Linked DNA regions of Rhinolophus ferrumequinum. The protein of the gene in region 2 interacts with the protein of the main gene of each other region in a pairwise test. Links are inferred from orthologs where the notes say so. Each region holds a gene or a part of one and is shown on either strand. Other genes may lie near its edges.

Evidence for each region.
Region 1: the proteins of CD63 (region 2) and TIMP1 interact in binary tests that used the Homo sapiens proteins (3 or more experiments, as listed by UniProt). The link is inferred for Rhinolophus ferrumequinum from reciprocal best matches to the Homo sapiens genes CD63 and TIMP1.

What each region holds. Positions count from the first base shown.
Region 1 is NC_046284.1:86,403,315-86,415,355, forward strand, and holds TIMP1 (metalloproteinase inhibitor 1), read right to left. Parts: upstream 5,633-12,041; 5' UTR 5,597-5,632; coding exon 5,461-5,596; intron 4,612-5,460; coding exon 4,483-4,611; intron 3,753-4,482; coding exon 3,673-3,752; intron 3,358-3,672; coding exon 3,231-3,357; intron 3,006-3,230; coding exon 2,881-3,005; intron 2,019-2,880; coding exon 1,848-2,018; 3' UTR 1,745-1,847; downstream 1-1,744. Other genes in the region: SYN1 (synapsin-1), read left to right, coding at 10,342-10,404, 11,175-11,317, 11,416-11,490, 11,585-11,687. UniProt on the Homo sapiens protein: Metalloproteinase inhibitor that functions by forming one to one complexes with target metalloproteinases, such as collagenases, and irreversibly inactivates them by binding to their catalytic zinc cofactor.
Region 2 is NC_046293.1:55,213,659-55,225,585, forward strand, and holds CD63 (CD63 antigen), read right to left. Parts: upstream 5,825-11,927; 5' UTR 5,567-5,824; intron 5,423-5,566; exon of another isoform or gene 5,313-5,422; intron 5,307-5,312; exon of another isoform or gene 5,165-5,306; intron 4,783-5,164; 5' UTR 4,772-4,782; coding exon 4,706-4,771; intron 3,865-4,705; coding exon 3,688-3,864; intron 3,508-3,687; coding exon 3,433-3,507; intron 3,331-3,432; coding exon 3,235-3,330; intron 3,126-3,234; coding exon 2,985-3,125; intron 2,730-2,984; coding exon 2,646-2,729; intron 2,460-2,645; coding exon 2,394-2,459; 3' UTR 2,299-2,393; downstream 1-2,298. Other genes in the region: RDH5 (retinol dehydrogenase 5), read left to right, coding at 680-843, 1,131-1,354. UniProt on the Homo sapiens protein: Functions as a cell surface receptor for TIMP1 and plays a role in the activation of cellular signaling cascades. Plays a role in the activation of ITGB1 and integrin signaling, leading to the activation of AKT, FAK/PTK2 and MAP kinases.

The DNA.
Region 1 (12,041 bases), on a different chromosome or scaffold from region 2:
TCCCCAGGGTTAAACCAGCTGAGGGCTCAGGGAACTGCCACTGGGGTCAGGGAACCGCCTAAGAGTGCGTGCAGGCAGCTGTTAGTACTAGGATTCGGTGAACTGTCAGGAGCCGCCAAACTCTTGCAGGCAACTGAGGCAATAGTGACATGGCCACCAGGGCCCAAGCAGGGCCCGGGCCCTTCCCTTACAGTTACACCTATCAGTGAAGGCTGCCATTTAGCCCTTTTGGCGGAGTGTAAAAGCCAACATTTTACACCCCTCATCCCCTCAGCATTGGTCCCAGGGTACTCCCACCAGGTCATCATTGACATAACTTTGTTCCCAGACTTGTATCCCCCCAGGGCATAACCAAGGAATAGATGTTGATGTAAAAATTGCTGGAGTGAGGTGCTCTGCACCAGCAGATGAGCACTGGGTGTTCAAAATGCACCCATCCTGACCTAGGACATACCTTGAGCCCTGGGGGAACATCTAGGAGTGCAAAAGGACCAGACCACAGAGGATCCAGGGGCCACTCTGGAGGAGACCTGGGTTCTTATTGGCAGGAGCAGTGGGTAGTCTGATGGGAGGGAATTGAGGCGTCCTTTTCTCCACCAAAGAAGATATTTTGCAGCCTTTTTTCAAGCAGATTCAGGGCAACAGGTCACTGGAGGGTTCCACGGAATGTTTGCACCAATCTGAATTTCTGGTTCCCAGGGCCCTCAGCTGAGTGAGGACCTTCAGAGTGTAAAAGGCAAGAGCCAGGGACTGGAGGGGCCTGGGACAAGCTGTGGGAGCAAGAAGGCCTAAGGGAGGGAATGTTGGGTGGGAGGGTCTCTAGCGAAGGTTTCATGGGGGAAGATGAGCCAGAAAGGTGAGGCTCCGACCTAGAGGCCCCCGTTTTGGTGAGGGGACAGCTGTATAAGGGGAGGTGTGGGGGGGTGGCTGGGCTAACGTACCTGGTTGGGTCTGATTTTGAACCCTTATCTGCACTTCACTGCTGTCAAAGTTGGTCAGAGAAGTGAGGGAAGGAGAGGTAGGAGAAGGGGGAGAAGGGCAGAGATTGGGGATTTCCAGATCATACCTTCTCCCCATCTTTCCTATTCCCCAAACAACCACTTCCAAGGAGTCTCCTGCAGGCCATGGTTGGGGGGTGTGGCAGGGCCACCCCTTCTTCCAGAGTCCTTGGCTGGGTTATGTGGTTGGGGGGTTGTCTCAGACCCCTGGGGCTTTTTCCCTTTCACTCAAGTCAGACTCACAGTATAAGACCTAAGGGTGGAGATGGCAACAGCCACAGATTTGGACGGGGCAGAACGCCCTCACTGGATGGCATCAGGACGGTACCCGAAACAAGGAGAACTGTTAGTCCATTGATGGGGCATTTGTCAATGAGCCTGTGGACCAGAGGGATTTGTGAACAGGGGAATTTGTCAGTGAGGTAGTGATTTGGCAGCAGTGGGTAATTTATGAACTAGAACTTGTGCAAATAAGAATTATAAATTAATCAGTAAAATGTTTTAAAGTATTGAGTAGAGAGATTATCCAGTAAGCTGTGGTTGATAACACAGGTTAAATTGCTGACATTGCAGATCACTAATGCTAATGCCAATGTATAGAATTATTACCGATACCTCAAATTTTATGTAAAATATAAAAAGCCAACATTTTACACCCCTCATCCCCTCAGCATTGGTCCCAGGGTACTTCCACCAGGTCATCATTGACATAAGTTTGTTCCCAGACACTGCACAGGGACACTGCCTGCTGAGTGGTAGGTCTTTATTTCATTGTCTAAAAGAAAGAAAGACAGGAGGTGGAAAGGGGGTGAGTACTGTGCAGGTTTTGGCTTCTGCTGGGGGCAGAATTCAGGCGATCCGGGGCCGCAGAGACTGCCAGTTGCACATCCCTGGCTCCCGTGGCAGGCAGGCAAGGTGACGGCTCTGGAAGCCCTTGTCAGAGCCTGTGAGGATCTGGTCTGTCCACAAGCAGTGAGTGTCACTCTGAAGTTTGCAGGGAATTGATGAGCAGGGAAACACCTGGAAGAGGGAAGAGACGCGCATCTCTGAGGGCTTGTCCTCCTGCCCCGCCCTCCCTGACAGAACAGAACTTCCCCTCCTCAGCTTTCAACATTGAGCTGCTGGAGAGACCTGGTATCACTCCACCTGGGTACAGACTCAAGAACAGCCCCTCCCATTGGGGGAGCAGTCATTGGGTTCGGTGATATGACAGTAATCTAGCAAAAGGATCCATTTCCTGGTGGTTGGGCACAGACATAGGGGTCAGTCAGGTGAATCTCCTGAGGAACTGTCCCATGGGATAGGGAACAACTCGCAGCAGCAGAGAACAGCTAGCGGGTGGGGAACTTAAGCATAGGAAGGAGCCGTGGACCTCAGACAGTCACTGGGGTCAGCAGACATTCAGGGCCATCAGGGAACAGTCCAGGATAGTCAGAAGGACAATGTAACTCGCCCTTGGGTGTGGAACGGTCACAGCTGGAAAGCAAGAATCAGATGTGCTGGGGAAGAGTCATTGGGTTGGGGAACAGCACTTTGGGTTCTTGGAGAACATTCTAGGAACTAAGAAACAATCTCAGGGAGTCAGGAACAGACATCAGGACTATAGAAGAGTAGCAAAGGAGAGTTAGAGGGACAGGAAGCAGCCAGAAAGTCCAGGGAACAGCGAATCCTCAGGTATCAGAAGCCAAGCAAAGGTACAACCAGAATGTTAGGCGAACGGTCTCAGGCCTGGGGGAACAGCAGGAGAGATCAGGGACAGCCCAAGGATTTGGGGAGCAGCCAAAGGGACAAGGAATGGCTAGAGGGAGCAAGAAACAAGCCACGGTTTGGGGAAGAGTCCAAGGAGCACTCTCCAGGTAGTGGGCAGGGCCCAGGCACTCACTGTGCATTCCTCACAGCCAGCGGCATAGATCTTGGTGAAGCCCCGGCGCTGAGCAGAACTCAGACTGTTCCAGGGAGCCACGAAACTGCAGGTGGTGATGTGCAGGTGCCCTTTCCACAGTTGTCCTGCGGGGTGGTGGGGGGGGGGTGGTTTGAGGCAACAGGCAGCTTCTGATTGGCTAGGCCGGGGTCAGGGCGGCGCCTAATTGGCGTCCCTGCAGCACCGACCCGGCTGGGGGCGGTCCCCATTTCAACTGGGACCGTTCCCTCAGAGCCTCGCCGGGCCCAGGATACCCAGCAGCGTCTGAGGAACGGGTGGGCGTGGCCCAGGGCGAGGGGGCGGGGCCTCACCAGCGATGAGAAACTCCTCGCTGCGGTTCTCAGACCGGTGGAAGTATCCACAGACGCTCTCCATGGCCGGGGTGTAGACGAACCGGATGTCATGGGCATCCCCCAAGGCACTGAACCCCTTGAACATCTGTCGATGGATGAGGGGAAGAGTCTCTTTTACTGACATAATCCTCCCACTCTATCTTCTTCATATACCAGCATCCTGAGATCACAGCTAACTTCCTGCTCACCAACCAACAGCCAAAGGCTTTTCTTTCTCTCTCTCTCTCTCTCTCTCTCTCTCTCTCTCTCTCTCTCTCTCTCTCTCTCTCTCTCTCTCTCTCTCTCTCTCTCTCTCTCTCTCTCTCTCTCTCTCTCTCTCTCTCTCTCTCTCTCTCTCTCTCTCTCTCTTTGACAGGGAGAAAGATGTTAGGAACTGCTGAGGAAAGTGCAGTAAGGGTACCTTGGTCATTTTGATCTCGTAACGCTGGTATAAGGTGGTCTGGTTGACTTCTGCGGTCCCCACGAACTTGGCCCTGATGACTGCCGGAGAAGAGGGGGTAAAATGAGTCAAATGAACTACGTGAGCCAATAAAACTAAAACAATCACAACAGTCATGCTAACAAAGCACATACATAGATATCAATCACTGGATGCCAAACAACACACTAATAGTTCTGTTCATTGCTTTACCTATATACTGAGTGCCTACTCTGCCAGGCACTGCTTTAAGCCTTTTTCATATATTCATCACGTGTTCATTCACTCAACAAATATTCTAGAGTGCCTGCTGTGTGCTAGGCACTGTTCTGGGTGTTAGGGACACAACAGTGAACAAAACACAGAAATCCCTTCCCTCGTGAAGCTCACATTCTAGCCAGAAGGAGGCAGACTAAACACAAGCAAAATAGATCAGTCTATGGAATGTTAGAAGGTATTAAGTATGACGGGAGACTTCAGAGTTGGGTAAAGGGGATCAGGAGTATTAGGAAACAGGGATTAAAATTTTGAGAAGGTGACTTTTGAGGCAGCCACCCATATGGATACCTGGGGCCAAGGGGGTACCAGGCAGAGGGAGCAGCCAGTGCAAAGGCCGTGAGCTGGGACTGGACCTGGAGTAATCAGGGAACCATGAGGTTGCCAGTGTGGCAAAAGCAGAGTCAGGGTAGGGCTGAGTTTGGAACTGTTCTAGAGGTGAGCCCTGTCGTGAACCCCAATGGACTGAGGCGGAAAACAAAGCACAGAGCGTGTGGGCAGAGTAGGGTAACTCACCAAGGTCGGAGCTACAGAAGGCCATCTGCGGGTGGGGTGGGGCACAGGTACATGCCCTGCTGGGGGCTGCCAGCCACAGCAACAACAGGATGCCGGAGACCAGGGGCGCAAAGGGGGCCATAGTGGGCTCTGCAGAGGTAGGGAGGAGGGGTCAGGGAGGCCCCCAGCCCAGCTGATCCTCAGACTTGGCAGGCCTCCCACCCCATCCTGTCCCCCCCACCACCACCACCAAGCAGCCTGGAGGGGGATGAGGTGACTGTACTTGGGATTAAGGGGTTGGGGAGTTTGGGGATTTTAAGTGGGGGTGGGGATTTGAGAGCCCACAGTTTAGGGGGTCAGGAGTTTCAGAGTTGTGAAATTTGAGTGATTTAAGGGACTGGGTGAGTGGGGGAGATTATGGGGCTGTGGTGTTAGGGGATTTAGGGGGGTCGGGGAAGTCGGAAAGTTGAGAGGAGTTGGGGTGAGGAATTTGGGGTTTTTGAGCTGGAGGAATTTGGGGGAGGTTGGGACTTTCAGAGTTGTGCATATTGAGAGAGAGAGGAGGTGGGGGAGTTGGGGAGGCTGAGGGGGTTTAGGGAGTTGCGGGACTTGGGGGGTTTAAGAGGGTGGGGGTGCCAGAGGGATTTGGGAGCAGATGAGTCTCCAGGTTTAGGGAGTTGGGGATTTAGGAGTCTGGAGGCTTGGGGGGCAATGAGGGAGTTCAGGGCAGTTGGCCGCTTAGGAGGCTTCTGTTGTATTAGGGTTTCGTGAGTTTGGGAGAGTTGGGATGGATGTCAGGGGTTCGGAGGAGTTTGGAGTGCCGGGATTGGGGGAGCAGTTCCAGCACCCTCCCCCCCTTTCCCTTGACCAGCCCAGGGTCCTGGTACCCCCCTCCACCCCCACCCAGCCAGGCTGAGCAGCCAGGTGTCCGGCAGCCGAGGCAGGAAAGCTCGAGCTCTGCTTTAGGCCCTGCTGCCACAGAGGCAGGCCCCTGCCTACCTTCGGTGTAGCTTCTCTGGGCGCTGGGTCTGCAGTGATGGCGGCAGGGCCAGAGCAGCGGAGGATAAATGTCCACTCGAGGGGCGGGGGTGGCAGTAGTGCGGAAACCACAGGCCTCCAAGCTTCCTGGACGCATTACTCATCCGCCCACCATCAGTGGAGGCCAAGGGGCGGGCCGAGGGCTGCCGAAAACGGGCTTCACCCTCCTCTCCCTCCCCCTGCGCCTCGCCCTGGTCATCCCCCTCCCCCATCTCCAAATCGGCCCCATAGGCGGCCTCAATGGAGGGCTTAGAGGCAGGATTCCCCCCGTGCAATTCCCTAAAGCTTCCAAACTTTCTCCAAAGTCTATCCAATCACCCACAAACCCCCAAACTCCCCATGGCTGAAGCCTGAATTAGTTCATTCGTCGGTGAACATTTCTAGTGCACCTACTGTATGCCAAACACACACAAAAATTCCTCTCTGGAGGGGTGGTGGGTTAGCTCAGTTGGTCAGAGCGTGATGCTGATGACACTAAGGTTGCCTGTTCGATCCCTACATGGGCCGCCGTGAGCTGTGCCCTCCTTAAAAAAAAAGAAGAAAAAGCAAAAATTCCTCTCTGATACACCCGACATCCTGGTGCAGGGTTGGGGAGGCAGAGAGGAGGCTGAGTAGAAGCAGTGGAGGGAGATAAAGCAGGTGAATGGAGGAAGAATACAATCTGGAGTGACTGAGGCATGGACAGATGAAGTGACTTATCCAAGGTCACAGTTAATAAGGGACAGAACTGGGATTTGAACTCAGGTGGCCTGGAGCCAGAGCCTGGGTCTTAATGACCTCTCAAAAAACACAGGCAAATAGTCAGCATTTACATAGCACCAACTGTGTACCAGGCACTCAACATCATTTATCTCACTTAAAGCTCACAATGTTTGTGACAACATAGGTGGATCTAGTAGAGGGTATTATGCTAAGTGAAATAAATCAGATAGAAAAAGACAAATGCCGCATGATTTTACTTATATGTGGAATCTTAAAAACACAACCAACCAAACCAAAGAGAAACAGACTCATAGATAGAGAACAAACTGGTGGTTGTCAAAAAAAAGGAGGGATGGGGGGTGGACAAAATAGGTGAAGGGGATTAAGAGGTACAAATTTTCAGCTATGAAATAAATAAGTCAGGGGACTGCAATGTACAGCACAGAGATTACAGTCAATAATATTGTTATAACTTTGTATGGTGACAGATGCTAACTAGATTTATCACGGTGATCACTTCATAATGTATGAAATATCGAATCACTATATTGCACACCTGAAACTAATATAATATTGTATGTCAACTATAATTCGGTTTTTTTAAAGCTCACAATAAGCCTCTGAGATGGGTACCAACATTATTCCCATTTTACAGATGAGGAAATAAGAGGCATAGAGGGATTGAAGAACTTTCCCAGGATCACAGGGAATGGCTGGGATTTGAACCTAGGCCAACTGGAGCCAGGATCTTAACGCAGGCTTGGCAAGCGGGAAGGTGCCAGTGAATTAATGAGCATTGGAGTGGGGGGAGTTGAATGGTGGTGAAAGAGGCCAGTGAGTCAGGAGAAAACTGATACCCTCCCGTCCTGCCCTGCCCCTGCCCCACCAACCCCCCGCCAACGCCCCGGTAGACGTAGATGGTGGGGTGAGGCAATCCCTGCCCAACAGCTTCCAGATGCTGCCTGAATCTTCCCTGGGGTCCTGGGAAAGGGCTCTGAGGGCAGATTGACATCCTTCGTTAGTTCAAGGAGGACAGACCAATAATAACAATAATGGTAGTTGTTAGCATCACTTATTGAGCACTTACTGTGTACTGTGCCCTGAAGTCTTTGTGTAAATTCTCTCATTCAATCTGCAATACCCCCTGGCTAATTAAGCTGGATTAACTCAGTCAACAACAATACCACCACAATAAAAACTACCACCAGCTCTTGAGGAGTGCTTACTGGTTATCAAGCACCGTTCTATAATCTTAGTATTTTATCTCTCAGTCAATCCTGATTGCCTCCTGGTTAATTAGTGTTGGCTTACCAATAATAGTACCCAGCACTATTATAATAATAGTCCCAGCACTTTTAGAGGATGCAGATTTCCTGTGTGCCAGGTATTGTGCTGAGCATTTTTCACAACTCATTGGTTCCTCACAACATCCCTGTGAGTTAGAGACTGTTCATATTCTCATTATACAGATGAGGAAACTGAGACAAAGGATTGAGTGACCTGCCCAGGAATGAGAGTGAAGAAATTACTCTGAAGTAGGGGAGGAAGTAAACCAGGAATTTGGAGAAGCTGATTGTGAAAGTGGCGGAGTGAGAGTGAATGAGACAGGGGGCTGAGTAAGTCAGTGTCGGGACCAAAGGAAGAAGTGAAAGAAGGGAAAGTCCTGCTGCAGCACTTCACTGACCCAAAGCTGGTTCTGACGCCAGCTTTGTGATTCTGAAACATGAGTCAGCACAGAGTTTCGCCGACTGTCTACATGTGAGGGGTTGTGTGGATCTGGTTTATTGTGCAGGTTTTGAAACTGGTAGGGTTTCATGGAGGGGTGTCCATGTGTGTGACCATCTGGGGAGCTGCGTGGGGGCCGTGGGGGCCATGGGGCCCACCTAGGTAGGCAGAGCAGACACCTGACAATCCCCATAGCACACTAAGTGCTTGTGCCTGATTGTACCCTTTGTACAGATCAGGAAACTGAGGCCCAGAGAGGATTAAGTGACCTGCCTAGGATCCCCCATGGCCTTAGGAGGAAGAGAGACCAAGATTCAAAGCTAGGGCTCTCTAGGGGATCCCAGAGTGCAGGGCTCCCTGCACACACACATGTGTGGGCACACACAGACACACCTGCGGGCACACACACACACATACACACGTGCAGGCACACACAGACACGTGTGGGCACACACAGACTCACATACACACGTGTGGGCACACAGAGACACACATGCGGGCACACACAGGCACACAGACACACGTGCGGGCACACAGGCACACATACACACGTACGGGCACACACAGACACACGAGTGGACACACACAGATACACATCCACAGTGTTGTGTTCAGGCTCAGGTCCAGAGGAAATAAGGAGGGTTTAGGAAAAGAGGAGCCTAGAAAATTTGGGCTTGTGTGTGTGCATTTGTGCACAGCTCTCTGCTGTGTCTCTGCCTTTGAGAGTCGAATGTTTGCCTTTAGGTGGTGGTATGTGTGGTGTATGTGTGGACCTGGGTGTGTGTAGCCCTGTGTGTTTGTGTTGCTTCTAGGAGTTGTGTGTGCCTCTGTAAAGCGGGTCTAGGTTGCACATATCCTTGTGGATGTGTTGCTCCCCTCTGTGAGCTGAGTGTTGCCTGAATGTTACGTCACACATCACACGCTGCTTCTGCAGTGTTTCCCTGCAACACTACCCAGACGATCCTCGCGAGCCCGTCCCCACACGGTTCCTCTCAGCGCCCCATAATGACGACAGTCATTTGGGAAATGAGGAAGGTGGGAATGCGGGAAGGAGGGCGGGCAAGGCCTGAAGGTCAATCGGTCACCCTGAGCCTGCGGGCTTCCTGTGCCTGTCGGGAACCGCCACCGCCCTCGCCACCCCTCCGGGAATAGGGAATACCATCTCTACGCTGTGGGGCAGCAGTCTGCACAGCAGAGGGCGGGCACGGCCAGCCCCATGTGCATCCTGTACTGTGTGGGGCTGGGGTCGCCCAACTCAGCTCCCTCTCTCCCGCCCAGGATCAGGGAGACTTGACATATCCCTGTACCTGAATGTGTGAGCAAATGAGTGTGTGTGTGTGTGCGCGCATGCACACACCCAAGTGTTGTGTGTATGCTTAGGAGGGATGTGGGTGTCTCTAGCTGTGTGTATGCCTCTCCGTTTGTACATATGACAAGGCATGTTGTGTGCATGTCCCTAGATACTCTGTGTGCCCAGGAGTGTGGTGTGGGTGTCCGTGTTATGGGTCTCAGTGGTTCTGTGAATACCTAGAAGTGTGTGTACCTCTGTATGTGGAGTGGGTCCTTCTGTTTGTTGTGAGTTTGCCTAGGAGTGTTGCGTGTGTGTCTGTGAGTGTTGACTACGTGTCCACTTCTGTTGTGTGTGCCTGTCCGAGTTGTGTGTGCCTTTGCGTTCTGTGGCTGTGCCTTGAGGGTTGTCTCTGTATTGCATGGGTAATCCTTCATGTTGTGTGTGTCCCTCTAACTGTTGTGTGGATTTGGGTGATGGGAGGAGGGCTGTGTATGTGTCTGCGCCCAAAACAGTTGAGTGTGTGCTGCTGGGCAAGGAGGCTGGCCTGGAGCGCTGGGCTGAATGACTGGGTGCCGGTGCAGCTGGAGAGCAACGTGGGCTCTGGAGCCTGTGTTGGTTGCAGGTCTCTCCATCTCATGGGTCTCAACCTGCGTGGGCATCTCTGGGTTTGATCGTGTAGATCTGAGTTCTAGGGATTTGTGTGTGTGTCTCTAGGTTGTGTATGCATGTGGACAAGGCTAACATGCAAGGCCTGGCTGAAGGGTCCAGTTGCTACATGCTCACGACCACAGCCCCAGGCATGCACACTCACTTTTCTATCATCCAGTCACTGTATAAACAAACTTTCCCTTTTCCGGAAAAGGCTCCCACCCTTATCCAAGCAGAGGCAGAAAGTCTGGAACTTGGGGGTGGTGGAGGGGGAGCCAGACAGACAGGGCTCTGGGTTTGATTTTGAGTTAGGAGGCGCTGTGGACCCCCAGCTGCTGTATGCCTGTCTCTGACCTGCCTCTTCTGGGAAATGGCTCCTAATGTGGCTCCCGCTGGATGGGCTCCCCTCAGCACCACCCCAGCCCTGGCCATCAGCCCTCCTGCCCTGACCATGCTCTGCCTTTCCATCCTACCAGCTCAGCAGCACAACATACCCCGTGGTTGTGAAGATGGGGCATGCACACTCCGGGATGGGCAAGGTGAGTCCCCAAGTGGGGGGTGTCCATGTGTGTTCGTACATGGTGTACACTCCTGGCATTGTGCTCATGTATGTAGATGTATATTGTATATTCAATGCACATGGGTAATTTTATGTGATTGTGTGTCCTGTGGTGTTTTTATCTATTTGTATCCTTTCCCTCACATTCTTAGATTTTGTTGGCCCAATTTTGTATCATGCTCTCAGCCAAGTTTATGTGTCCTGTTATTTTGTTAGTGTATATAGCATTCTATCTGTGTATATGCATGCCTGTGTTGAACACACACTAGGTGATCTTTTACATTCAAGGGTCTTGTGGTACTGCATGCTTTCTATACATCTGATTTTGTCTCTGTGTACATAGAAAGCAGACTTGTAATTTTTATGTTGGAGTGTGTCCATGCTTCTCTGTTTGTATGTTGTGTGTGCAACTGATTTTGTGTCTGTATGCATATACCGTATATACAATTTTCACACAGCTTTATTAAGATATACTTCACATACCATAAAACATACTCACATAAGGTAGACAATTCAGTAGTGTTTATTATATTCACAGAGTTGTATACACACACCTTTGTGTCTGTGTGTACATGTAAAAACCAGGAGGCCCAGAATTTTATGCATGTGTGAATGCCTTGGTGTGTCCACCAAATTTTTATGTACTCAGCTCACCTGTGTCATTCGTGTGCCTGCCCCTGCTTGAGGCAGCCCCAGTGCCCACTGCTGTGCCACCCTGCCCAGGCTCTGATCCCCACCCCACTCCCACAGGTCAAGGTGGACAACCAGCATGACTTCCAGGATATCGCAAGTGTCGTGGCACTGACCAAGACATATGCCACTGCCGAGCCCTTCATTGATGCCAAATATGATGTGCGCATCCAGAAGATTGGGCAGAACTACAAGGCCTATATGTGAGTGGAGAGACCGAGGCCCGAGCAGGGGTCCCCTGCCCTGCCCTGGGTGGCCCAGGTCCCCTTGAGTCTCTGCCCTCTCTCCTTTTGCCCGCCAGGAGGACATCAGTGTCAGGAAACTGGAAGACCAACACTGGTTCTGCAATGCTCGAGCAGATTGCCATGTCTGACAGGTGGCTGGCCCGAACTCGGCGGGGAGGGGACGTGAGGTGGGAGTGTGGCTGCCCAGGAAGGCACTGACAGGCTCCTTGCCCTATGTCTTGGCAGGTACAAGCTATGGGTGGATACGTGCTCAGAGATTTTTGGGGGACTGGACATCTGCGCCGTGGAAGCACTGCATGGCAAGGACGGAAGGGATCACATCATTGAGGTGGGAGCATCCAGAGATTGGTAAGAGGAATAAAGGGAGGAGCAGGTGCACGGCAGAGGACTCCATGGCCCAGAAGGTCCTCAGCAAATGGCAAAATGTGTAATAAACTGTAAAGTACCTTGTGAGCTGGGACACGCTGGCAAATGGAAAAATACTTAGTAAACTCTAACCTGCTTTGTGAACTTGGACATCCTGAGTGAATAGCAAAATACTCGTTGAACTATAAAGTGCTCTGTGAACTGAGCCCATTGGTGAATGGCAAAGCACTTAATAACCTTTAAAGTATTCTGTGAACTGAGAGGTCCTTGGCAAACAGTAAAGCACTTTGTAAACTATACTTTGTAAAGAGTACTG
Region 2 (11,927 bases):
ACAGAAGCAGGGACTGAATTTTGAGCAGAATTATGAGTCCTCTAAGCTAAGCCAACCTTCTGAAGGAAACCTGCCTTTGTCACCATCACTCAGCAAATAATTTCAATATCGACTTTTGTCCCTATCCCTCAGTCTTTTAATTTTCCAATCGGCACCATGGAACACATACTTTATACTTGGATTTCTGCATCTGTGCCGGGGTGGCTAGATGTAGCCCCACTTTCCTCCAGCAAATACCAATCTACACCCTTCATATCCAGCACTCAGGACTCCTTGCGTTTGGGAGCTAGGGAATGGAGTTGGCAAACTGGTTCTCAGGCCAGATGGGCCAGCTGCCGACTAGGTAATAATGGTTTTTACATTTCTTAATTGTTATAGAAGTACCTATATATCACTAATTTTTAGGCCTGCAGTACCAAAAATATTTACTATCTGGCCTTTTAAGAAGTTTGCTGACCTGTTGTAGTTCGTAGAAAAGAATACAAAGGAAAACAAATCTCACAAATACCTCCATTCCTCTCTTCCACTTGCCCCTCATTCCAGGGCAGCAGGGATATCCCTGTCAGGACCCCCGTCCCTGGTCTGTGACAACTTTCCCATTTTAGCCCCCATCCATGTGCCTGAGCGTCCCCTCCCTATGAGGGCAAGAACCCAGGTACTTCCCTCTGCCTCCCTCCAGGCGGGACGTGGCTCCTTTTGGGATACGAGTCTCCATCGTGGAGCCTGGCTTCTTCCAAACCCCTGTGACAAACCTGAAGAGTTTAGAGGACGCCCTGCAGGCCTGCTGGGCACGGCTGCCTCCAGCCACTCAGGCCCACTATGGAGAGGACTTCCTCACCAAGTGTAAGTAGCTGGGCCCACATAGGGAGTGTATGAAGGTAAATGAGCCTGCCAGAAGGGTCAGTCCTGCACCAGCCTGCCGGGAGGAGGTGGGCAGGGAAGTCAGGAAGGGGGTGAGGATGAGTGGGATGCCACCCCGGCCATGAGGAGCCTGCCCACTCCCCAAAATGGGCATGGGACTAAGGATTCCTCTCATCTCCACTGGGCAACAAGCCCCAGGACCCACGAGAGGGCCTGAGATGGGCTGCAGTGGGACAGGGATGTAATTACAACCACCCACTGGGCTGCAGACCTGAAAGTGCAGCAGCGTGTCATGAACCTGATCTGTGACCCGGACCTAACCAAGGTGAGCAGGTGCCTGGAGCATGCCCTGACTGCTCGTCACCCCAGAACCCGCTACAGCCCAGGCTGGGATGCCAAGCTGCTCTGGCTGCCAGCCTCCTACCTGCCAGCCAGCTTGGTGGATGCTGTGCTCACCTGGGTCCTCCCCAAGCCTGCTCAGGCAGTCTATTGAACCCAACCTTCCAGCAAGAGATTGTTCAAGTGCAAGAACTTTATGTGTCCCCACCCTGGTACTGCCTGGTACCTGGCATAAAATAGACAATCAATAAATGTGTACTGTTTAAAAAAAAAAAAAAAACAGGTGGGCAAAGATGAAGGTGCTCAATTTGAGTGCTAACTACGCTAGGCTGCCTTATTGCCCAAGGTCTCTGGCCTGTTTAGTGCCTGCTAAACTAGCACCCACTGCGGGGCACAAGGTGGCCGTCTTGCCTCTCCAGGTGATCTTTGAAACTGCACCTAAAGGAATGGCCACCAGAGGGCATTACTGGACATTTCCTTTATTTTCTACATGGAGTAATGTTGCAATTCATTGTCTGAAGTGGGAATAGCAGTTATATATTTTTCTTGCGGGGTGAGGGAAGGTGGTGAGGAGGGGTCAGGACCAGGCTTAGTGATTTCCATGGGGAAAAAAGGCAATACCCACTTCCATTCTGTTATCTAATCTTAGTCAAGAAGGATGGACACTGGCCACATAGGTGTCAAAGCAACTTATCACCATCCTGAAAGGAGCGAGGCCCCTGGGTGGGGGAGGGAGTTGCTGGGCTCTCAGAGGTGAACAGAAGGCCAGGGAGCAGATGGTACACAGTGGGCTGGCCTCTCCCAAGTAGAACCTTTGTGGGGAATCCTTTTGACTTTTGCAGATGGCTTCATGAATGTTGCAGCACTGAGCCTGGCAGCACAGGAGCAGGAGGCAGGGAGGGCAGAGGGCCACAACCTCTTCCCAATCCCTGCTTCCACTGCCAGCCCAACCAAGACCTTCAGCAAAATCCCCTTTTGCCAACACCCCCTGAAATAGGCCTGCCTGTCCCGGAGGTACAAATAGAACACGGTCCCAGAAGACAGGAACATGAAGGGGAGGGAAGGGATAAAGTATCACTCTTTAAGATAAACTGAGACTGTCTTTTCAGTCTGAAAAAATAATCCGTTTAATTGAAAAATGTGGAATATACGACCCCACTCTCCTAGATGAGGGGCTGAAGAGACCAGACCCCCTACATCACTTCATAGCCACTTTGGATACTTTTCACAAGGCAGCAGGCAAAGACAATTCCCAGGACCTAGAAGGAAAGATAGGGAGGGGGGATGGAGAGAAGTCAGAAGGGCAAGGTACCCCCAACCCACACAAGAGACCTTAAATATACCCGGGGCTCCCCACCCCAGACCGTACCTCCTGCTCAGCACCCTCCTGCCCACTGCCCCTACTTCCCAGATGCCCTGGAATGAGTCCCAAGGGCACCTCTCACCTCCACAAAGGCAATGCCCAGGGCTGCTGCAGCCACCAGCAGAATATTGCGCCTCAGCCAGACCCCAATCTTCTCCACACAGCCCTGAAGGGTAGCAGGCACCAAGGGCAAGAACACAATCAGGAACCTCCCACCCACCTCCCGTGGTCCATCTGTCTCTCCCCCACCCTCTGTTCCTCTCACCCCACCCCTAGCATTCCTATATCCCCTCCCCATCCCTGATCCCCAACTTCCCAGAGCCCCAACCCTCTCCACCTCAGTTCCTGGTTCCTCTCACCTCTTAAAACATTTCCCAATTTTCCCAAGTCCCCTGCTACCTCAGCTCAGCCTCCTCCCTACCTCAGTATGGATCTCTTTCACACTGAAATTAATCCCACAGCCCTGGGTGACATTGACGCAGCAGGAATCAGGGACTCGGCCCTTGGGTTCCAGAGGGATGGTCTCCCAGTCTGTGTAGTTAGCTGCCCCACAGCACTCGAACTGGGAGAGAGGAGAGATTTGGGGGAGGTTGTGAAGTGAACCTCCACCTTCAATATAGAGATAAGAATCTCCTTCTCCCATTACCCCTGCTCCCAGGAGCCCCACTCACATTTTCCTGCATCCTGTCCAGGAACGAAGCCGTGTGGTTCTGTTTTGGGTAGTTCTTCATCCGCTGCCGGAAATCCTTATTAAATTCTGACATCACCTGGGAGTAGGGAGGAACACTGTTGAGGTCAGAATTCAGGGCACCTGGGTGCCAGAGCAGCCAGGCCTCTGACACAGGGCCCTCCCCTTATTCCCTACTTACCTTGTCTCTAAACACATAGCCAGCAATGGCTGCAGCCACCTCCACCAGCACAATAAGAGATAGGAAGATGACAAACTGCAGGAGCGAAGGACAGGAGTCAGGTTTGGAGTCTGGGTAAGGGGGGCCAGCTGTGGCCCAGCCAGTCTCTGGAACACTCACACAGATTTTCCTCACTTCACCCACCCTCGTGAGCCCCCCAGGGAAGTGACATTCCAGAAGTCCCAAGCACCCACACTGGCCCCACACCCTACTCACCGTGATCATGAGACAGTAGTTCTCCTTGCAGGCCCCACAGAAGCCCACAATGGCTACCAGGAAGAGGAAGGCACCCACTGCGATGATGACCACAGGCAACATGACCCCCTGGTTGATGGTCTGACTCAGGATGAGCTGGGCCCCTATGCCCACAGCGATCAGTCCCACTGCACAGGCCTGCAAGAGTGGCGGGCAGGGTTAGCCCCGACCCACAATCCATAACCCTTGGGTGCATCCAGGACACAGACTTAACCCCATCCTGGAAGGACAGATTCTCACCCCTCCAGGAAACTTTGGACTGTGGGGGAGGAAGATGACCCATCCTTACCCAAGAGAAGTTCCCATAACGCCTTGACCCCAGGGCACATGTTCCTAACCAAGAGGACTGTTTCCTGGGGGCCTCATGGGTTCCCAGAACTGCCCTCTCATCATCTTCCATGCCCAACCCATCCCCATCAGCTGTGATTAGGGTTCCTCCAGCCAGCTAGGCCAGGGAAAAGGCGACAAGCGTAGTGTGCCCCTCCCTGGACGAATGGTAGCCTCTCAGGGCAGGAGCAAGAGCAAACTGAGGTGCGCAGAGCCCTTCCCCACCCACAAGCAGCTGGGAGGGGTGAAGAGGGTGATTGAATGAGGAGGAATGAGGAGGTGGAGAGCCAGAAAGGAGGAAGGAGGCTGGGGAGGGCAGAGTAGTCCTGTAGCCTGGAGATAACATCAGCCGTTGGCTGGTTGCCCCACTGCCCCTATCACAAGTGATTGGGTCACCAGACAGGAAGGGCCAGGAGGGGCTGGAGCGAGGATGCTGCGCACTCAGGCTGACCATTCTCATCCAAATCAGCCTCAGAGGTCCCAGAAGTCTGGAGGAGGGGGTGGCCGTGCTGTTTTCAGCTGTTCCCCGGGGTTTCCTTCCACATCTGGTCTCCAGCTGCCTTCATTCTCGGTCCCTCAGCCCTCAGCTCTCGGAAGCCAAGTCTTCCCACACCCTGCCAGCACGCCCCCATCGTCCCCACTCCCCACTCACGCAAAAGGCCAGCAGAAAAACGTAGTGCAAGATCTTGACACATTTCATTCCTCCTTCCACCGCCATGGCTGACGGGCCTGGGGCAGAGGGGAGGGGAGGGGGATTAGAACTCGCCGAGGGGGCCCTCGGTTTCCGGGCTCCCTGCCGGCCCTCGAGGCCTTCCCTACTCGGCCCCCATTCCCGGCCCCGCCCACCCGGATCTACGTCTCCCAGCCCCCTCTTCTCCTCGGCCCGAAAGGGGTGGGGGCGACCGCGGAGCAGCCCGCACCAGCCCGTCGGCCCCGCGGCCCGGGGCAGACCGGAGGGCGCGGACTCTCGGCCGCCAGCCCCAAGAGTTAAGCACCCCTCCCCGCCAGACCACTCCCGAAAACGGTCCTCAGCCCAAGGCCGACCGCCCGTCACTTTCCCCTGCGCTCTGACCACCCCAAAAAAATAGGTGCGGCCGGCACCCCAACCCACTCGGGCCTCTGGAACTTTTCAAAGTTGCGAGGGCCTCGGAGCTGCCCGGAGCGCCGCGCGTCTTCGGAGGCCGGCGCGAGCCTGGAGGAGGGGGCTGCCGGCGATCCGACGACGACCACGACGCAGCGGACCTACCCCTCCGCCTCACCTGGGCTCCTCGAGGCTGTGCGCTCCTCTCCCGCCGCCGGTCAGGGGTTCTCTAGCTGCGCCCCCCCCCGGTTCCGACCCCGCCCGCCGCGCGGCCCCGCCCAGGCCTCCAGCCCCCTCCCCCGCCGAGTGGCCGCCGGCCTCCCTCATGTGATGCGGGAACAGCTGCGGCCTGAGTCACCCGGCCGCGGAGGGGAGGGTCGAACCCCCGCTGGGTTAGGGCCAAGTGGCCCCGACCCGGAAGACAGCACCCACCCCGGCCGAGTAAGAGCAATAGGAGCAGGACCTCTGGGTGCCTGGGTCTCTTCTGGCGCCTCCAATCCTGTGCCAACTAGTATAGAAGAGTGCGACGGAGCGCTGCTGGGTTCTCTCTGGTTCAGGGAAGCGGAGGAGGCGTGTGAGAGCCAAAGCAGGGATGAGTGCCCGGGCCGGGCGGCGGAGCTGAGGCAAGGTGACAAGATGGTCGGCCAGAGACCTCCAAGTCCTCCACCAGAGCCCCCTCCCTTCCTCGGGCTCCATCTCTATTCAAGGCCCTCTCCTTCCCCGACAGCAGAGGGCGCTGTTGGCTCCCTGGGATCGGGTGGGGCCAGAATAAACACTTAGAGAAAGTTCCCAGCCTCATACCCTGGGAGTCCCCAACATTCTACAGCGGTGTTTCTGTCCCCCTCTGTTAAGTCTCTTCTCCATTCTCTAGGGCTTCTGAGTAGCTGGCTGAGAAGGGGAGAAAACCCTTCACCAGGCCATCCCATCCAATCAATTATGATCCAGCAGAGTCAGGTCCCTCCCTCTGTGGGAAGATTGACAAGGTCTGTGCTCCCACCACTCCTTGATCAGCCTGTCGTGGTGGATGGGCACTAAGAGAGACATGGCATATACCCCCTGGATTTCTCCACCCCATCCTAGCAGACAGCCTTCTCATCCCAGAGTGCAAAGCCAGGCGAGGCTGGAAGTGGAGGTGGGAGGCTCAAGCTGCCTCCCTCCCTTGTGTGCGGTGGTGGTCCCCAGAAGTTGCTGTGTGAATAGGCCAAGGACAGTAGCAGCCAGCACATTCTCCCTCCCCCAGCCTGGGCCCCACCCCTTAGGTTCCTACAATCCTGCCTCAAGAATCACTTCCTGAGTCTCAGTGTGTGTACACAAAGAAGGAAAGAAACTGTAGGAGCAAAAGGAAGGAGATCTGGGCTGTGCTGAGCGCCAATTTCCAGGATCACAACCTTCCAGCAAAACACACCACGCCCATTCTGGACCTTGCTTCCCAGTTATAGGAGGCAGGCTGTGGAGGAGGAGCGAAGATGCTGAAGAAAGGAGTATTCAAAGGTTTCTTTATTGTATTGCCTCTAGATACCAGGCATATGGTAGGCACAGGGCAGGGGCAGCAAGGCAGGGAAGTCAGTGGCCCTACCCTCTGACAGCAGGCAGAACCAAGTCCATACTGTGAACAGACAGAAACATCTGGTGGCAGCTGGATGAACCCAGAGGGAGAGACAAGTGGTACCTCAGCCCAGGGATGAAAAAAGAAAAGAAAGAATTTCACAGAAGTGGGTGGTGCTCTCTGAGGTGACTTTAGAGAATAAAGGGGCAAGCTCTCAGTTCCAAGGACAAGGAAAGGGCCAAATGTAAAAAAGGAGTAGTTTTAAAGTCCATGGCAGGATAGGAGTGGGTGGCTCAAAAGGCTCAGGAAGGATGTGGTGGTAAAAGATAGATGGGAGGGAAGGTGGTCTAAAGTCAAGATTAAGAAACTTTAGTGCTCGCTTCGGCAGCACATATACTAAAATTGGAACGATACAGAGAAGATTAGTATGGCCCCTGCGCAAGGATGACACGCAAATTCGTGAAGCGTTCCATGTAATTTAGAAAAAAAAAAGAAAAAGAAAACGAAACTTTAATCAAATATATGGTGATGGAAGGAGAACTGACTCTGGGTGGTGGACACACAATGGGATTTACAGATGATGTAGTACAGAATTGTACACCTGAAATCTATGTAACTTTACTAACAATTGTCACCCCAATAAATTTAAAAAAAAATCCAAATGCAGGTGCTAACCAGACACATTAAATAAATGAAGCAAGCTCTTAAAAAAAAAAAAAGAAAGAAACTTTAGATACATAACAACCAAGTATAATGCTTGGTCTTTGATTCAATCAAACCAACTGAAAGATATTTTGGGAACAACTGGGCAAATTTGAATATGGACTGAGAATTAGACATGAGAAAATATTTTTGTTAGCTATGATGATGGTATAAATATGTAAGAAAATTACTCTATTTTTTAATGATTCATACTAAAATGTTAAAGGGAGAAATACATCTTATTTATTTTGGAGTACTTCACAGAACACTAGATGAAAACACAAGGAAGACAGTTTAGGGGACAGAACTGTTGGGAATGTGGAAGGCTGTGTTAGGAATATTCTAAAGGCAATGAGAGTGTTGGGAAGTTTCAAGAGAGTGAATTATCTCTCTCGAAAGTAGTACTAGGCCTACTTTGAAATGAGTAGGATCCTTTGGTAGTTCATAAGTGTGATGATTGAGTGTTCACGCTTTTGTGTGAGATGTGCCTCCCTCAAACCTTGTTAGGACATGGGCACATTACCCGTCTGACGTGAAAAAAGAAAAAAGAAAAGAAAAAAAAAGAAATGAGTAGGAATGGGTGTCAGGTGGCCTGGAAAGGAAAATAGCTGGGACATCATTGCCAAGGTCCATCAAAGAGCTAGTGAAGGCTGGAACCACTGAAAGTAGAGAACTCTGAGCAGCATTTCAGAGGCAAATCAAAGGACTGACTGGGTGACTGCTTACCTATGGGAGAAGGAGAGGAAGTGGGAAGAGACCCAGATGACACAGAGGGGTACCCTCGCCCCTCCCCACAAAGCAAAGCGAGGCTGCCCCAGCTCCACCATAACTTCACCCAGGGCCAGAAGCAGGGCATGGTGGCCACTGGTGTCCCAAGTGAAGGTGGTGAGGTAGTGCCATCTGAGAGCACACAGGCATCAGCCTGGCCCAATGCAATGCACAGCAGCTTGCAACCAGTGCCCGAGACCTCCTAAAGCCCACAACCATACAGGGAGCCCAGACACCTTCTCCCCTCCACTCACCAGGGCCCCTGGGTCCTCTGCCTGGGTCCCACTGGGAGGAGGCCAACTCAGAGATGAGAAGCAGATGCCCTGGTAGGAGAGACCCAGGGGAACTCAGAACTGCCACCTGCAGAGGCAGGAGCATGGAAAAGAAGTAAGACATGGAGAAGCAGAGGAGGAAAGATAAAGAAAGAAGAGGGTTGAGGAAAGTTGGGAGAGATGTGAGGAGGTAGAGGAGAGAATAAAGGAGGGTGCAATACAGGGAAAAGGTTGGGGGATATGAGAGGGGAAAATAGACATGAGGGAGAGGGGTGGGGAGAAGGAAGAAGAGACGGGGATGGGAGAAAGAAAACGAAGGATGCATCAGCATTGCGGCCATCTCACTGGGGAGGGAGGAAGGGTGGTGGCTGGAACTTAATGTCAAAAAGGTGGGTCTGAATTTGGGGCCTGAAATTTAAATCTAGAGTCCCATTTTGGATATGAGGGAGCATGGGTGCTTGATGGTAGCCCCGAGACGTCAGGGTTAGATCAAAATCTGTGGTTCTATGGGTCCTACTGGTAGAAAGGCTCAGGGACCACCCCAGCATGGGCTCCTCAGACAGTGATAGACCCGATGAGCACCAGGGCTGAGCACAGCCCCCACATTGGTTCTGTGGAGACAGCAGCACTGAGCTACTGGTTGATGGAGTCACTGTAATGGCAGCTCTGATTCCCCCAGCTGTCGGGGGAATGTCACCGCACCATGGTACCCAAGAGAACATCAGCATTGCCAAAGTCACCTTACATCCTTGCTTCAAAGAAAGTCAGACTTGAAAAAATGAAGCCACTCACTCAGGGGCAACCTGCAGGTAAGAACCAGGGTCTTGACACACAAACTTTAGTGCTGGGTGCACCATACCCACCACCAGCAAGAAGCACCCTGACGTCAGAAGCCCTGGTGCGAGACAGGCTCTGCTCCTCATGCATACAAGTGTAAGTGGGGTGACTTTGCTAAACTCTCACTGTCCCTGAGCCTCAGCTGCCTCCCAGGCAGGCAGGCAGGCAGGAGGAAAGCTACTCCCTTCCTCACCTCACAGGACGGTTGTGAAGATAACAGAAGAAATGAAGGGGATCAGTTTTGTTACCTTGAGAATAATCAAGGCTTTCTCATATCTTGTTTTTAAATTTATGGAAGTTAAAGTGACTTTGGTTTGAGAAAAACCTGGATTCCGCCCCACTAAAGGTGGCCAAGAAAAGGGTTGAGAAGGACAATCCAGCCTCCTTTGGCCCCTGCTCCCCACCTCTGCCTGAGCTGAGAGTCCCAGTTCAAGCCCCAAGGCTGAGCTCCCATTCCAGTCCCGCCCCGTCCCGCCCCCCCACTGCCAGGCTCCATCCTCAGTGCTCCGCCTCCCTTCTTGCCCTGTTCCTTTTTCTACTCCTTGTGCCTCCAGCCACTGACTTCTGGCCACTCTTTCTCAACACCCTTGTCTGGCTCCTATCCCAGCCTCCTCCCAGCCAGTGTCACTAATTACCAGTGGGATCAATCCAGATGCCCAGCTAGTGGGAGGGCAGGACGGGCATCTGCAGCCTGTTGCATCCTCGTGTACCACCTGCACCAAGAGCTTGGCTGTTGTGCGGTTCTGGTCCAGGAATGGTTGGTTGATGAGTGCAACGGTCTCCACTGAGAGCCCCAGACCCGCACAACTAAGGTTTCTCCTGAGATGGAGCACAGATGAACACGGGAGAAATGAGAGAGGCAATGCTGGGGCAGGGGAGTTACCTCGGGTTTCTGTTCCTTGGCACTGAGAGGCCAAGAGGCCTAGGCAGGGGCTGAGGAAGAATTCATTCACTTGTTCATTCATTCATTCATTCATCCATCCATCCATTTACTGAAAGCCTAAACATGCCAGATACCGGGACTATATATGGAGATAAGTAAGACATGGCCCTGCCTTTGAAGTGATTACAACCTGTAGGCACAGACAAAAAAATGCAGAGTGGTGAGGGCTATGACACAGAGAAGCCCTGCATGCTGGGAGCCATCCAGCACAGACTGGGGGGAGGGTGTGCAGCAGGGCATTGCCTTGGGGGCATCCACTCAAGCTCTTCTCAGCTCGTTGGGCTCCTCCCTGTGAATGTGATCTTGCAGCTCAGGGAACTAGGGGTGAGGAGATGACGCAGGGTTTGAATGGGTGGGGGGTCACTGGCACCCCCAGGCAGAGCCCAGACCAGGTTGTCCTGCCCTCACATTTCTAACTTCTTGTTCACGTTCCCATTCCCAGACCCCAGCCAGATATTCTGGTTTGTTCACACACCATTGCTACACACACACACACACACACACACACACACACACACACACCCTCATCTGACAACAACCTTGACCTTCACTGCCCTGTGCGCTCTCCTGGAGATTAGATTCCCTCTGAACATTCCTGCCTCCAGTTCCCCTCTGCTATCCACCAGCCCCCTCACGTGGCAGCCTAGGTCATGCTTTGTCACCTGTGGGGTCAGCGCATCTGACAGCATTTTGAAGTCCCTGCAGAAGCGGACCTTGCTCTCACAACCCTCCCTTTCCCGACCAGCAGATGGAATAGTGGTGCCTCCTGCCAACATAGCTGGGCAATGCGGACAGCTTTGACCAGCTGCCCTCAGCACCCAGCAGGGGCCTGGAGAGGGAGTAATAGGTGAGAAAGACAGGTAGAGGTGGGGAGGCCTGGGGAGATGGAGAGTGAAGGTGGGAAAGAGTTGGAGGGCGGGGCCTGCCCTAAGAGGATAAGGGGAAAGTGACGGGGTGGGGAGTGTCTTCTGGAAGATCAGAGGCAAAGAAAGGTGTGACTCCAAACAATTATCAGAGTTCCCCACTCTACACCGTCTCCCCCAAACACAAACTGGCTCTCTCCTCCAAACCTCCAACTTCTCTTAGCGGGCCTTGGGGTTAAAGAGGTTAAACAGGGTGGATCCAGGCAGGACGATTATAGGGTTTAGAAGTTGGTGTGGGAGAGGATGGTAATTACACAGTGAGGTCCTCTCAGGGAGAGGGGGTGTTGGGATTTGTGGGCAGAGAGCTGGGAGGGGTCCATCCACCAACAGACCACGTCCAGCCCAGAATAGCCTCCCCACACACCACGTTCCCAGAGGTTCACGCTGGCAGGGAGAAGCAAGCCTTGTAGGGAAGGCCCCCTCCCCTCAGCCGCTTCTCAGTGACCCAGCCCATCCCTGCCTGCCTTGTCTGAGAATGAGTCCACTGACCCTAAAAATGGGGACTTTAGGAGGAAAAATCGAGAAGAGATAGAAGTAGGGATCCTGAGTTACTCCCCATTGAGCCGAGCTCTGATGAACAAAGCAGTTTGGGTGTAGGGGGTGACCTGTGTGGTAGGGGTGCAAGACAGCAGGAGTCGCTTCTCCTCACAGTGGTTCCCCGTTCTGCGGTCAGCTCTGAGAGTGGCCCAGGTCTCTGGGCTGAACCCTGGTGACTGGCTCGCAGGACCTGCAGTTCCTCTTCCTGAGGATATAACGGACCCCACAAGCCTCCCGCTGAAACCCTCCTGCTTCTCTTCCCGGC